3 linked regions of the Ovis aries genome follow. The protein of the gene in region 3 purifies or fractionates together with the protein of the main gene of each other region. This does not show direct contact. Links are inferred from orthologs where the notes say so. Each region holds a gene or a part of one and is shown on either strand. Other genes may lie near its edges. The genes, in order: SLMAP, PPP2CB and STRIP1.

The links.
Region 1: the proteins of STRIP1 (region 3) and SLMAP purify together in Homo sapiens (affinity purification with mass spectrometry; 4 studies listed by BioGRID and IntAct, with this or other methods). This does not show direct contact. The link is inferred for Ovis aries from reciprocal best matches to the Homo sapiens genes STRIP1 and SLMAP.
Region 2: the proteins of STRIP1 (region 3) and PPP2CB purify together in Homo sapiens (affinity purification with mass spectrometry; 6 studies listed by BioGRID and IntAct, counting the BioPlex papers as one, with this or other methods). This does not show direct contact. The link is inferred for Ovis aries from reciprocal best matches to the Homo sapiens genes STRIP1 and PPP2CB.

What each region holds. Positions count from the first base shown.
Region 1 is NC_056072.1:43,446,732-43,450,378, reverse strand, and holds part of SLMAP (sarcolemmal membrane-associated protein), read left to right. Parts: intron 1-970; coding exon 971-1,291; intron 1,292-1,701; coding exon 1,702-1,819; intron 1,820-3,647. UniProt on the Homo sapiens protein: Associates with the striatin-interacting phosphatase and kinase (STRIPAK) core complex, forming the extended (SIKE1:SLMAP)STRIPAK complex.
Region 2 is NC_056079.1:26,064,049-26,068,219, forward strand, and holds the start of PPP2CB (serine/threonine-protein phosphatase 2A catalytic subunit beta isoform), read right to left. Parts: upstream 2,865-4,171; 5' UTR 2,515-2,864; coding exon 2,413-2,514; intron 1-2,412.
Region 3 is NC_056054.1:87,356,802-87,360,448, forward strand, and holds part of STRIP1 (striatin-interacting protein 1), read left to right. Parts: intron 1-38; coding exon 39-102; intron 103-1,196; coding exon 1,197-1,268; intron 1,269-1,759; coding exon 1,760-1,834; intron 1,835-2,025; coding exon 2,026-2,123; intron 2,124-3,347; coding exon 3,348-3,474; intron 3,475-3,647. UniProt on the Homo sapiens protein: Plays a role in the regulation of cell morphology and cytoskeletal organization. Required in the cortical actin filament dynamics and cell shape. Part of the striatin-interacting phosphatase and kinase (STRIPAK) complexes.

The sequences.
Region 1 (3,647 bases), on a different chromosome or scaffold from region 3:
CTTATTTTAATTGTTCTTTTCTGCCTAATGAATTTTTTTATACTTATAATTTTCTTGTGTTATAGTAACCAAGACCAGTATTCTAGTTCTGAACCCAGCATGATTTTATACAGATTGTTTCCAGTTCACATCAACAAGACCAGAGCTTTAAAAAATATACCTCTGACTAGGCAGTATTCAGTAACTTTATTAATTCATTAATTCAACCGATAATCCTTGGTTCTTTACTCTTCTAGTCTTGAGGATAGTATACATGAGATGTACCATGTAGTGAAAAAGATGAACAATAAGCAAATAAGTATATAATGTGATATCCAGTAAGAGCAGAGCAAAGGACTAGAGAATGACAGTGGACTATTTTTAGATAAGCCGGCAGAGAAAACTGCTTTAAGGAATTGACAATTAAACAGAAAATTGAGTTAAGAATATCAAAGGTTTTATTAATGTTTACCATCTGACCAAGCAGTTCTGTGTCTATGAATTCACCCTTACGGGAGGAAAAAAATCAAGATTGCATTATAAGATGTATTGTCATCAGTAATTAAAAACTCAACAGCGTAATATATCTGAAATAAAGGATTAGTGAAGAAAGTTAATATAGCTGTTTTGTCGTTAAAAAATATTTATCACCCGCAGTATAGAGAGCACTGTATTCATTATGATTGCTCCCAATTTTTGTTTTCATATATGTATAAATGCTTAGAAAAAATCTGGGAAAATAAGTACCAAATGTTAGAAGTAATTTTCTCTGTGTGGGAGAAATAAAGATGACTTTGAGTTTTTTTCCTCTCTTTGTTTTTCTGTATTTTGATGTTTTATGCATTAAACATGGATTGCTCGTACAGTTTAATCAAAAGCAACAAACGGCTCTGACAGCCTGGGCTGTGCAGTAACTACAGTCCCATATGGACTGTTCTTTTATTCCTGATTACTGGGACTAAGAAAATGATGAGTAACTATACTTTTATAGCCCAACTACAGAGGTTACACATCAATATCGAGAATCTCCGGGAGGAGAAGGACAGTGAAATCGCAAGTACCCGAGATGAATTGCTTAGTGCCCGAGATGAAATTTTACTCCTTCATCAAGCGGCAGAAAAGGCTGCCTCTGAGAGGGACACTGACATTGCTTCTTTACAAGAAGAGCTTAAGAAAGTGCGAGCTGAGCTTGAGCGGTGGCGGAAAGCAGCATCTGAATATGAGAAAGAAATCATGAGTTTGCAAAATAGCTTTCAGCTTCGGTGTCAACAGTGCGAGGACCAGCAGAGGGAAGAAGCAACCAGGCTGCAAGGTGAGAAATGTACTTTACATAAAACTCTTAATGCTTGACACTGATAACTTCATAACTTGTACTGAATCGAATGCAGTCAGGCTAATTTTCTCTTCCGTAACGATTGATTGTATAAAAGCAGTGTTTTTATATTGAGGCTATAAACGTTCTTCACATCTGTAAGCTCTACAGTGAATTGAAAAAATTTGCAATTTTACATTTATTTATTTAAATACTATTAAAAATTATTTGTCTTGTAAAAGTGAAGTGGGGAAAAAAATATTACTGGAGTTCAGGATGATGAGAACTTCCTTGAGGCATAACTGCAAAGTAACAGAAATCAAGGAAAAGCCATATAAAATCTTTGTTTTTTAAAGGGGAAAAAATAGTTATGTTCCTATATTAACAAATGTGTTTTGGGACTATTTTAGGTGAACTAGAGAAGTTGAGAAAGGAATGGAATGTATTGGATACCGAATGCCGTTCTCTAAAAAAGGAAAATGTTTTGCTATCTTCAGAACTGCAGCGGCAAGAAAAAGAATTGCACAAGTATGCATGAACTCTTATTTAGGTTCAAAATATTTCTGTATCTTAGATTTTCATCTAAATTTAATTTAATTTTGATATTTAAATACCTTTTGGAACAAAATATTCAGCCAGGCTCTTTTCTGGCTACTTGGTAGATTAACCCCACTAAATGAGTACTGAAGCACTTTTTTTCTGGCACCACCTCTATGTCCTTTCCTTTGGGTGTATTCATGGAATACAGATTCATAAATGCCGCCTTCCCACCCCCATTCCCAAAAGCTCTAAGCAAACAAGCAGCAAATGATCTATGATTAAATTCACCTGTAAGCTAAATGGTAATAAATTTCAAATACAAGTTTGTTTTTTTCTTTCATGCCAGTGATCCCTTCTGTTTATAAGGTTCATCAGAAGATGGCTGTGATAAAAGAATTGATATTATTGAGACAGAATCAGCTTTTCCTTATCAAACAGGGTTATGTAAAAAGTAATAATACATGACCTAAATCAAATCCCTTATGATTATACAGTGGAAGTGAGAAATAGATTTAAGGGTCTAGATCTGATAGATAGAGTGCCTGATGAACTATAGAATGAGGTTTGTAACATTGTACAGGAGACAGGGATCAAGACCATCCCCATGGAAAAGAAATGCAAAAAAGCAAAATGGCTGTCTGGGGAGGCCCTGCAAATAGCTGTGAAAAGAAGAGAGGCGAAAAGCAAAGGAGAAAAGGAAAGATATAAGCATCTGAATGCAGAGTTCCAAAGAATAGCAAGAAGAGATAAGAAAGCCTTCTTCAGCGATCAGTGCAAAGAAATAGAGGAAAACAACAGAATGGGAAAGACTAGAGATCTCTTCAAGAAAATTAGAGATACCAAGGGAACATTTCATGCAAAGATGGGCTCAATAAAGGACAGAAATGGTCTGGACCTAACAGAAGCAGAAGATATTAAGAAGAGGTGGCAAGAATACACGGAAGAACTGTACAAAAAAGATCTTCACGACCCAGATAATCATGATGATGTGATCACTAATCTAGAGCCAGACATCTTGGAATGTGAAGTCAAGTGGTCCTTAGAAAGCATCACTACGAACAAAGCTAGTGGAGGTAATGGAATTCCAGTTGAGCTGTTTCAAATCCTGAAAGATGATGCTGTGAAAGTGCTACACTCAATATGCCAGCAAGTTTGGAAAACTCAGCAGTGGCCACAGGACTAGAAAAGGTCAGTTTTCATTTCAATTCCAAAGAAAGGCAATGCAAAAGAATGCTCAAACTACCGCACAGTTGCACTCATCTCACATGCTAGTAAAGTAATGCTCAAAATTCTCCAAGCCAGACTTCATCAATACGTGAACCGTGAACTCCCTGATGTTCAAGCTGGTTTTAGAAAAGGCGGAGGAACCAGAAATCAAATTGCCAGCATCCACTGGATCATGGAAAAAGCAAGAGAGTTCCAGAAAAACATCTATTTCTGCTTTCTTGACTATGCCAAAGCCTTTGACTGTGTGGATCACAATAAGCTGTGGAAAATTCTGAAAGAGATGGGAATACCAAACCACCTGACCTGCCTCTTGAGGAATCTGTATGCAGGTCAGGAAGCAACAGTTAGAACTGGACATGGAACAACAGACTGGTTCCAAATAGGAAAAGGAGTACGTCAAGGCTGGATATTGTCACCCTGCTTATTTAACTTATAAGCAGAGTACATCATGAGAAACGCTGGACTGGAAGAAACACAAGCTGGAATCAAGATTGCCGGGAGAAATATCAATAACCTCAGATATGCAGATGACACCACCCTTATGGCAGAAAGTGAAGAGGAACTAAAAGCCTCTTGATGAAAGTGAAAG
Region 2 (4,171 bases), on a different chromosome or scaffold from region 3:
TGATCACCCCAGCCTTAGCGATAAGGAGTAGGAGGGGCAGGGCTGCGCAGCCATCAAGCTGTGGAGCCAGGGTCTGAACGCAGGCTGGCCATTATAAACAAATGCTGCACTCAGCAGGAAAAAGGAGGGCAGAGGTAGGGAAGTAAAATGGAGCTGTAAGGTTAGATGACAGAAAATCAACACCACAAAGGTTTGCCACAGCTGCTGGCAAGGGGCTCCACACTAAGCACCGCTGAGAAGGGTAGGGGCTGCGGGGGGCACGCCACTCTGCTCCAGCCCTCCACATCCCTGGCAAAAGCAGAGGATAAAGATAAATGACAAAGCACTGCCACTTAAAAATTCGTGTTTGGTGGAAAAGTACAAATATTCAGAGAAAAAAGTAGGTAAGATATAAGCTTAAATATACCTCAAAGAAACTAGGGACTGGCAGTTCAACTTATTTAGGAGCTGAAGTCAAAATAATCTCTCTGGACAAATTCAGAAAGCTTGCTCAGGTGACGAAGGATCAAGTGTGATCGAGGAGGGGTGCAACATTCTTCTCCCGAAAGACGTCTTAAAATTATCAGACAGTCAGAGGGAAAAACTGATTCAACTACCAACTTTGCCCACCACTTAAAGTCTATGTCTACTAGTCACAGAGAGGTTAACTGACTCAGCTAATTTCACAACTGGGTATTTCACCCGACAGTCAAGCCTGAGAGAGACAGCGATTTAAAACATCAATCTTAAAACGTGAAATTACAGGTTATCACACAAGAAAATTGAATGTAGCCAGAACCTGAAGCAGTCCATAAGCAATTTGTCTCAGAAACACAAATATACCACTTTTTGGTAGTTCTATTTACAGAAATACATCCTCCTGTATCAATACACAGCTATTTAGTAGACTCACAGACATAGAAAACAAACTAAGGGTTACCAAAAGGGGATGGGGAGGGGATAAATTAGCAGTTTGCGATTAACATATACACACTACTTTATGTAAAAGAAACAAGAACCTTCTGTATAGCACAGAGAACTATACCCAATGTCACGTAATAACCTATAATGAAAAAGAACCTGAAAAAGAATATTGTGTATTTATAGCTGAACAAGTTTGTTGAACACTTAAATGCAACATTATACTTTTAAAAAAAAATTGTTAGTACATAAAAACCCAAAACAACGTTACACTTAATTTAAAAAATAAAACACTATTTTAAACTTAGCATTAACTCTTCCATTCCTAAGACATTTAATTTTAAGGGTACTCTATAAATAATATTAATAAAATCTTTCCTTCAATGCCTTTCTGAAGCATCCTGCTTTCCAAACAAAATCAAGAAAGTCTTAGGGAGTATGGCTTAAAAATAAATAACAATTCAAAAGCATTAAAGAATAAATAATTTTGTTACTCCTCCACGAGACCTTTTTACATAAAAATAGTCTAGGCTATAAAAGATGAATGAGAAAAAATGTAAAGTCCAAAATAATTCCAGTGATTAAGAAAAAAATGGATACAGAATTCAGAAGATTGTCTACGATCACACAATCAAGAGCGACTGAAAACAGTAAACCACCTGCATATTTTATTACTTTTTGGAAATGAAAAAAAAACCTTACATGTAACAGCAACAGAAATAACCTTCTGAAAAGTGCTACCCTTCAGGAGAAACACATACCCCACTTATCATTTCAGGTAAGCACTGTTGCCAAACTTAAGACTTGCCGTCTTGTTTCTGAAAAATCAAACATTTTTGCTTCCAAAGAGCCTCTCAACGTGAAGACCAGCCACCATCTGTCTCAACTAGAGTCAACTTCTATTTTAAAAAATCACAGTCTGCCATCACACCCACCTCTCTACAAACAAATGCCTGACGCGTTACCAAGTATTAGCGATGTTTGAAGGGCCGAGTCACCTGAGAAAAAGCCTCTGTTTATTATTACCACGCGCGTTGATAATTCACAACACCCAGGCTCATTTCGGTGCACTTTCCATTACGAGGCTGCAGGAGATTAATCTGCTTGGCGGCTGAAGCTTCGGGATTGCCAGTCCGCCCGGGTTAATGCTGGGGTTGTCAGCAACCCTCACTAGAGCGCCGGTCACCCCACAATCACACTTGGGTGATGAATTCCAGGTGTCACGGAGCCCCCGCCCACCCATCCCAGACGCCTTAGGTCTGGATCCGGGGCGGTGCGGGGGGGGGGGGGGGGTCCGGGCCTAACCAAGGGCTGTGTCCCGAGAGGGGTCCTGGAAAGGCCCGGCCCCGCCCAGGGGCTGAAGCCGAGCATGAGACGCAGCTCCGTCTGGACCCGGTGCCGGGATGAAGGCGGGCGGGCGGCCCGGGAGGGGAAAGACGAGGGGTCCCCGCACCGCCCACCCCGCACCCAGCCGAAGCTCCCCGGCCGCACCTCGCCCCTCTTCTCGCTCACCTTTTCACACAGCGTCCGGACTTGGTTCTCGTTAAGCTGTTTACACTCATTCAGCTGCTCGACCCACTGGTCCAGGTCCTTAGTGAACGCCTTGTCGTCCATGGCGGCCCCCGCCCCTCCGCCGCCGCCTCCTCCCGCCCCCCGCGCGCCCCCGCCCCGGGCGCCGCTCCCCTAGCCCCCCGCCGCCGCCGCCGCCGCCGCCCAGCTCCCGGCGGGGGAGGGAGGAGCCGGGCACTGCGGACCCCGCGCCCCGCCCAAGCCCCTCGGGCGGCTCCGAGCGCGCGGCCTCCGGGAGACCCCCGCCCGCCCCGGCCCGCCGGCCCGCGCGCCCCGAGAGTCGGTGAAGGCCGCGGGGACGTGCGGGGCTTCCGCGCAGCTGCCGCCGGAGGATGGGCACCCGCCGCCTGCCGCCCGCCAGCCGCTCTCGCCTCCCTGGCTCCTTCTCTCTCGCTCTTTCTCTCCCCTCCCTCCGGCTTTCCGTCATCGCCCGGGCATTTCCGCCGGGAAAAAAGGCGAGCGGGCGGCGCCGCCGGGCCCGGGACTCGAGAAGGCCTGCAGCGCCCCGTGTGGCGCGGCGGAGAAACAGGCCGACGGGCGCGCCGCTGTCTCGCTTTTCCCTTTTGTATCGTACTTCTCCACTCGGGTCCAGACCAGTCTCTCCTCGCTTTTCCCTTTACGTCCTTTTCTCTGAGAATTTTTTTTTCTTCTTCTTTTTTAGCGCTATGGAGAGAGAACTGGGAAGCTTGTGCTTCTCCTTGACCACATAGTCTCCCCAGAGTCTAGCACTGTCCCATAGCCGGCGTTCATTACCTATTAAACAGATACATACGTAAATTCTTCCATATCTTAGCTTTGTCATTAAGCAAGCTGTAGGGCACCGACATCTCGAATCCTCCCTTTAGGCATCAGAAACACGAATCGATTACTCTGTGATTATCAATCAGTTGTCCCTTCCAGCTCCAGCATTCTTCACCACATTTATGCAGTGTTTACTGAGCTCTATTGATTTGTTCACTCAGCAAATGTTCATCGAGCAACTGCTAACTGCCAGATACCCTGGAGAGCAGGTGGTCACCAACCATACTTCCTCTACTAGACAAGTGGCGGCAGGCAGCATCCTTTATCAGAAGGCAAGAGCCCCCTCTTGGCATCGCCAACCTCCTCGCTGTGTCCTTGGACAATGACCAGATTGCCCCCAGCCTCTGAGTCCTCATTTGTTGCAAAGGTGCGGTAAGGCCTGCCTTTTCAAGTTGTGAAGATTAAATTCTACAAGAGCTTATCCGATAGTACAGAATGGAACTCATGTTCCTTGCCTTACTATCCCTACTAGGCAACAGCTACCGAAAGGTTTTCTCCCCGGGGCAAAACGTTGAAGTTGCCTGGAGAAGGGAAAAGAAATTACACCGATTTGTTTTTTGGACGGTGGCAGAGGACAAATGTGTGAAAGACTGAGGTCTTTTCGGGAAGCTATAAATACTCCTAGCGTCGGAAGTCAGTCATATGGTGGGAAATATGGCTGGAAAGCTCCTGTTCTCAAGTGCCTTGTAAATAGCAGCAAAGCAGTTGAGGACAGAACGTGAAAAGATGGCGAAACAGTACTGAACAAACAGGATACCTGCCGTGATTCAGGAGATTTGCGGTCTCCGAGGAGGTTCGTCTATAAAGGTTGAAAGGTTGAGTTTCAGCTAAACCTGTCAAGCTCAGAATGAAATGAGAGTAAGAATAGTGTTTTTGGAGTTCCTGGAGAAGATGGATTGAG
Region 3 (3,647 bases):
GGACCCAGACCTAACACAGGGCCTTTGTTCTTCTCCAGTGACACGAACACAGTGGTGGGGCTGCCCAGGCCAATCCACGAAAGCATTAAGACTCTGAAACAGGTAGGTGGCTTCAGGTATGCTTTTGGCCTAGTTTGGTCCCAAGTGAGTAAAGTGATACCATCCTGTTGGGAGAAGCTTTTTTAGACTTCTGTCTGCCTGAAGGAACCAGGGGTGGAGTAATAGGTGGACAGTGGCAGTATCCTTGAAAACACTTTTTCATGCGTTTTACTTATTTTAACTGAGCGTTTTTTATTGGGTACTTACTGGGGTACCCATTAAAGATTCTATTAACTGACAGTTGGCGTTTTAAGGGGCCTAGGACATAGCCTCCGTTTTCCTTGCCCAAGTTCAGGGAGTTGAGTTAGAGGAGTAGGCAGGTGGAGATTCAAATGCCAGCTTGTTGCCGATGGAGTGATATGGGAGCATAGCTGCAGGAGGTGTCCTGACACCTCCCTTCCAAAGTTAGGCAGACTCGCCTGCCCAGACCAGAGAGGCCTGGAGCCCTGCTCAGCCTAGGCAAGGAGCAGAAGCGTGCACAGGCTTTTCTTTTTCCTTAAGAGAGAAGAGAAAGAGGTTGAGCGAGACTGTCCTGTTCCTCCTCCCATGCTGGCCAGTCAGGAAGGGGAGGAGTGAGTGGGCGGCGGTGGGGAGAGACCAGGGTGTTTGGTACACACGTGTCCCTCCAGTGGGAGGAAACAGCACAGTGAGGAAGAGGGGTGTTCCCTAAGAGTGTATCTGCAATATAAGTGTTCATATATTTTTGAAATATAATTTTGAAATTTGTAGTACTAGGTGGGCCTCATGCAGCTAGGCTTTTTGAGTATTTGAGTCCTTGATTCTGTGTACTTGAGTCCTTGATTCTGCTTTTACGTTTCCTCCTATAGCTGTAGCTGTCTGCAAGTCCCCTCCTCTCCTTTAATTTGCCTGTTTCCCCCTAACCTGTTCTGTGCTTTCTTTATACTGGTTTTAAGAGACAGGTGCCCACTTAGAAAAATATTTTGGGTTGGGGTTTTAGTTCAGGATCTCTGTGGTGACTTAGCCCTCTTTGAGAAGATGATGTTTGAAGAAAATTGCATGGGGTCTTTCCCAGGTGTGGGCATTTGGCCAGAGAATGCGAGGTGTTTGCCCTAATGTCTCTCTCCCTCTCTTTGCAGCACAAGTACACATCGATTGCAGAGGTCCAGGCACAGATGGAGGAGGAGTACCTCCGCTCTCCTCTCTCGGGGGTGAGTTGGGGGCCTTCCTCAGCTCACCGGATCCCAGCCGTTCCCAGCACTGTATAGGCCTAGGCTGCAGAGCATCCTGGCCCGCCCTCACATAGCTCCCAGTCTGGCTCCCGCTGCAGGGCTGCTGCGTGTCGGGTGCAGGGGTAAGAGCACAGACTCTGGGCCCGCCACCTACCTCTCAATCCCAGCGCCACCCCTTGGTGGATGGTGACTTAGGCAAGGTACTCGATCTCCTTCTGCTTTCCCTTCCTAGCCTGTTAAATGGAAATAACAATAGTACTTTCTTCATAGAGTTGTAGTAAGGATTCATTGTGTCTTTACAAGTGAAGTACCTGGCACATTTTGTTATTAAAAGTTTGTGATCATTATTAGCATTGTCGTTTACGTCCATACTTAGAGATTCTCCTCCAGCCAGCTAGCAGGCTGGCTCAGGAGAGCATTGTCAGGACCAGGCTTTGTATCAGTGCCCCTTATATGCATTGTGTTGAAAGGGAGAAGAGGAAGTTGAACAGGTCCCTGCAGAAACTCTCTACCAAGGCTTGCTCCCCAGCCTGCCACAGTACATGGTGAGTGCGCACCTCCTGAGAGCTCTGCCTGCCATGTGGTCACCGCCCCACAACAGGCCTTGAGAGCATGCCACTGGTGTCCTTGAGCCCCTCCTTTTGCCCCCTAAGCACCTCTAAAAGCACCGCCTCTCAGGAGTTTATGCTGCCTGGGGCCCTCTCAGCATGCTGTGTGAATGTCTGCTCCTTGCCAGATAGCGCTACTGAAGATCCTGCTGGCTGCAGCTCCCACCTCGAAGGCCAAAACAGACTCAATCAACATCCTAGCTGACGTCCTGCCTGAGGAGATGCCGTGAGTATCAAGTCTTGAGAGTTGAGGATGTACAGAAAGGGGACGTGTTGCTGGGTGGTGGTGGTTCTTTGTTTTGTTGTTGCTGCTGCTGCTGTTACATTAGCTCAGCTTCTCTGCAGATTAAGTTTAGGGTATTCTTGGTTTAGAAGAAAGAAAATGTACTGGGTAAAATAATTAGTTTTACTGCTTGTGGGGACACTTTCATCTGATTGGCCTGGATTCTAGTGTAAACTCTGCAACTGAGTGAATTGGAGACGTCACTTCCTCTTCCTCCTCTGTTAAATGAATAGGGCTGTGTCTGACATTTCCCCAAGTGCTCCCTTGAAAGCTATGTGCTTAGGACGTTCAGGACATACAGTTTTAGCTTCTGCACAAAAATCAGCCATTGGAGCTGGGTGTAGATTCTTTACTATTCACCAGTGAACTGGCATGAAAAATATTTTTGAACGTCCCAGGGTAATAGTGAAATCTCCAGGGGTTCTTCCTTCCTGAGGCCCTGACCTCATGTTTTTGATCTGAGAGTACAAACTCAGATCACGTTCTACTTTGAGAAGGACCTGGGCACCTGATCTCCTGCCTGCTTGCCAGGACTGCCCAGCTCTGAGCCTAACTCCCTGGTGGGCTGGCCACTTGAGTCTAGTGGTGACAGCCAGTGAGGGAGTAGGCGGGTTGGCTAACACCAAAGGGGACGTTAGAGAATGCCAGGGCATCTGATGGTCCTTGGAAAAAGGATTCCAGAGTCAAATATTAAATCTCCTCTTATAAAGATTTATAGTTAACTCCTTAATTAAGAACTTAACTCCAAACTTAAGAAACTGATTTAAGTAAATGCTTCCTAAATTTATTTGACTCTGAACCCCTTTTCCCCATAACAAGAGCCATCTCAATATGCTGGTATTCCAACAGAACATGCTCTGAGAAACACAAGTACATATGATGGCAGAAGCCTCAGGAAGATCTTGAGATGAGAAGTTCAGTTTTGGAGGAAAAGCAGGGAAATAGGCCAAGAATATGTTTGGGGCATCAGAAGGAAGAAGTCAGGTGTACTGAGCTAGATTGCTTGGGAGGTGGGTGGGAGGAGCCAGGCCTAACCTCTGAGATGTCCGTAGGGTGGAGGGTTAGGTGGGAGCTCTGCCCCGAGAAGGCTCAGGAGTCCTGTCTCCTGGGAGCGCCAGGCAGGAGGTGCTGCACATGCTGGGGCCTCACCCGGGGTTGTGCTTCTAGCACCACAGTGCTGCAGAGCATGAAGCTGGGAGTGGATGTGAACCGCCACAAAGAGGTCATCGTTAAGGCCATTTCTGCCGTCCTGCTGCTGTTGCTGAAGCACTTCAAGCTGAACCACGTCTATCAGGTATCTACAGCCCCTTCCTTCTGTCCACGGGGCCAGGCCCTTGGGCAGTGCTGCTCCTCAGGCCCCAAAGAACAGAGGCTTGGCCTTCAAACCTCCCTGAGCTCTGCGCAAATGTGCAGAGAAACAGTCCTCCACACGAGGCTTTTTATCACGAGAGAAAGGGTGAGATCCCA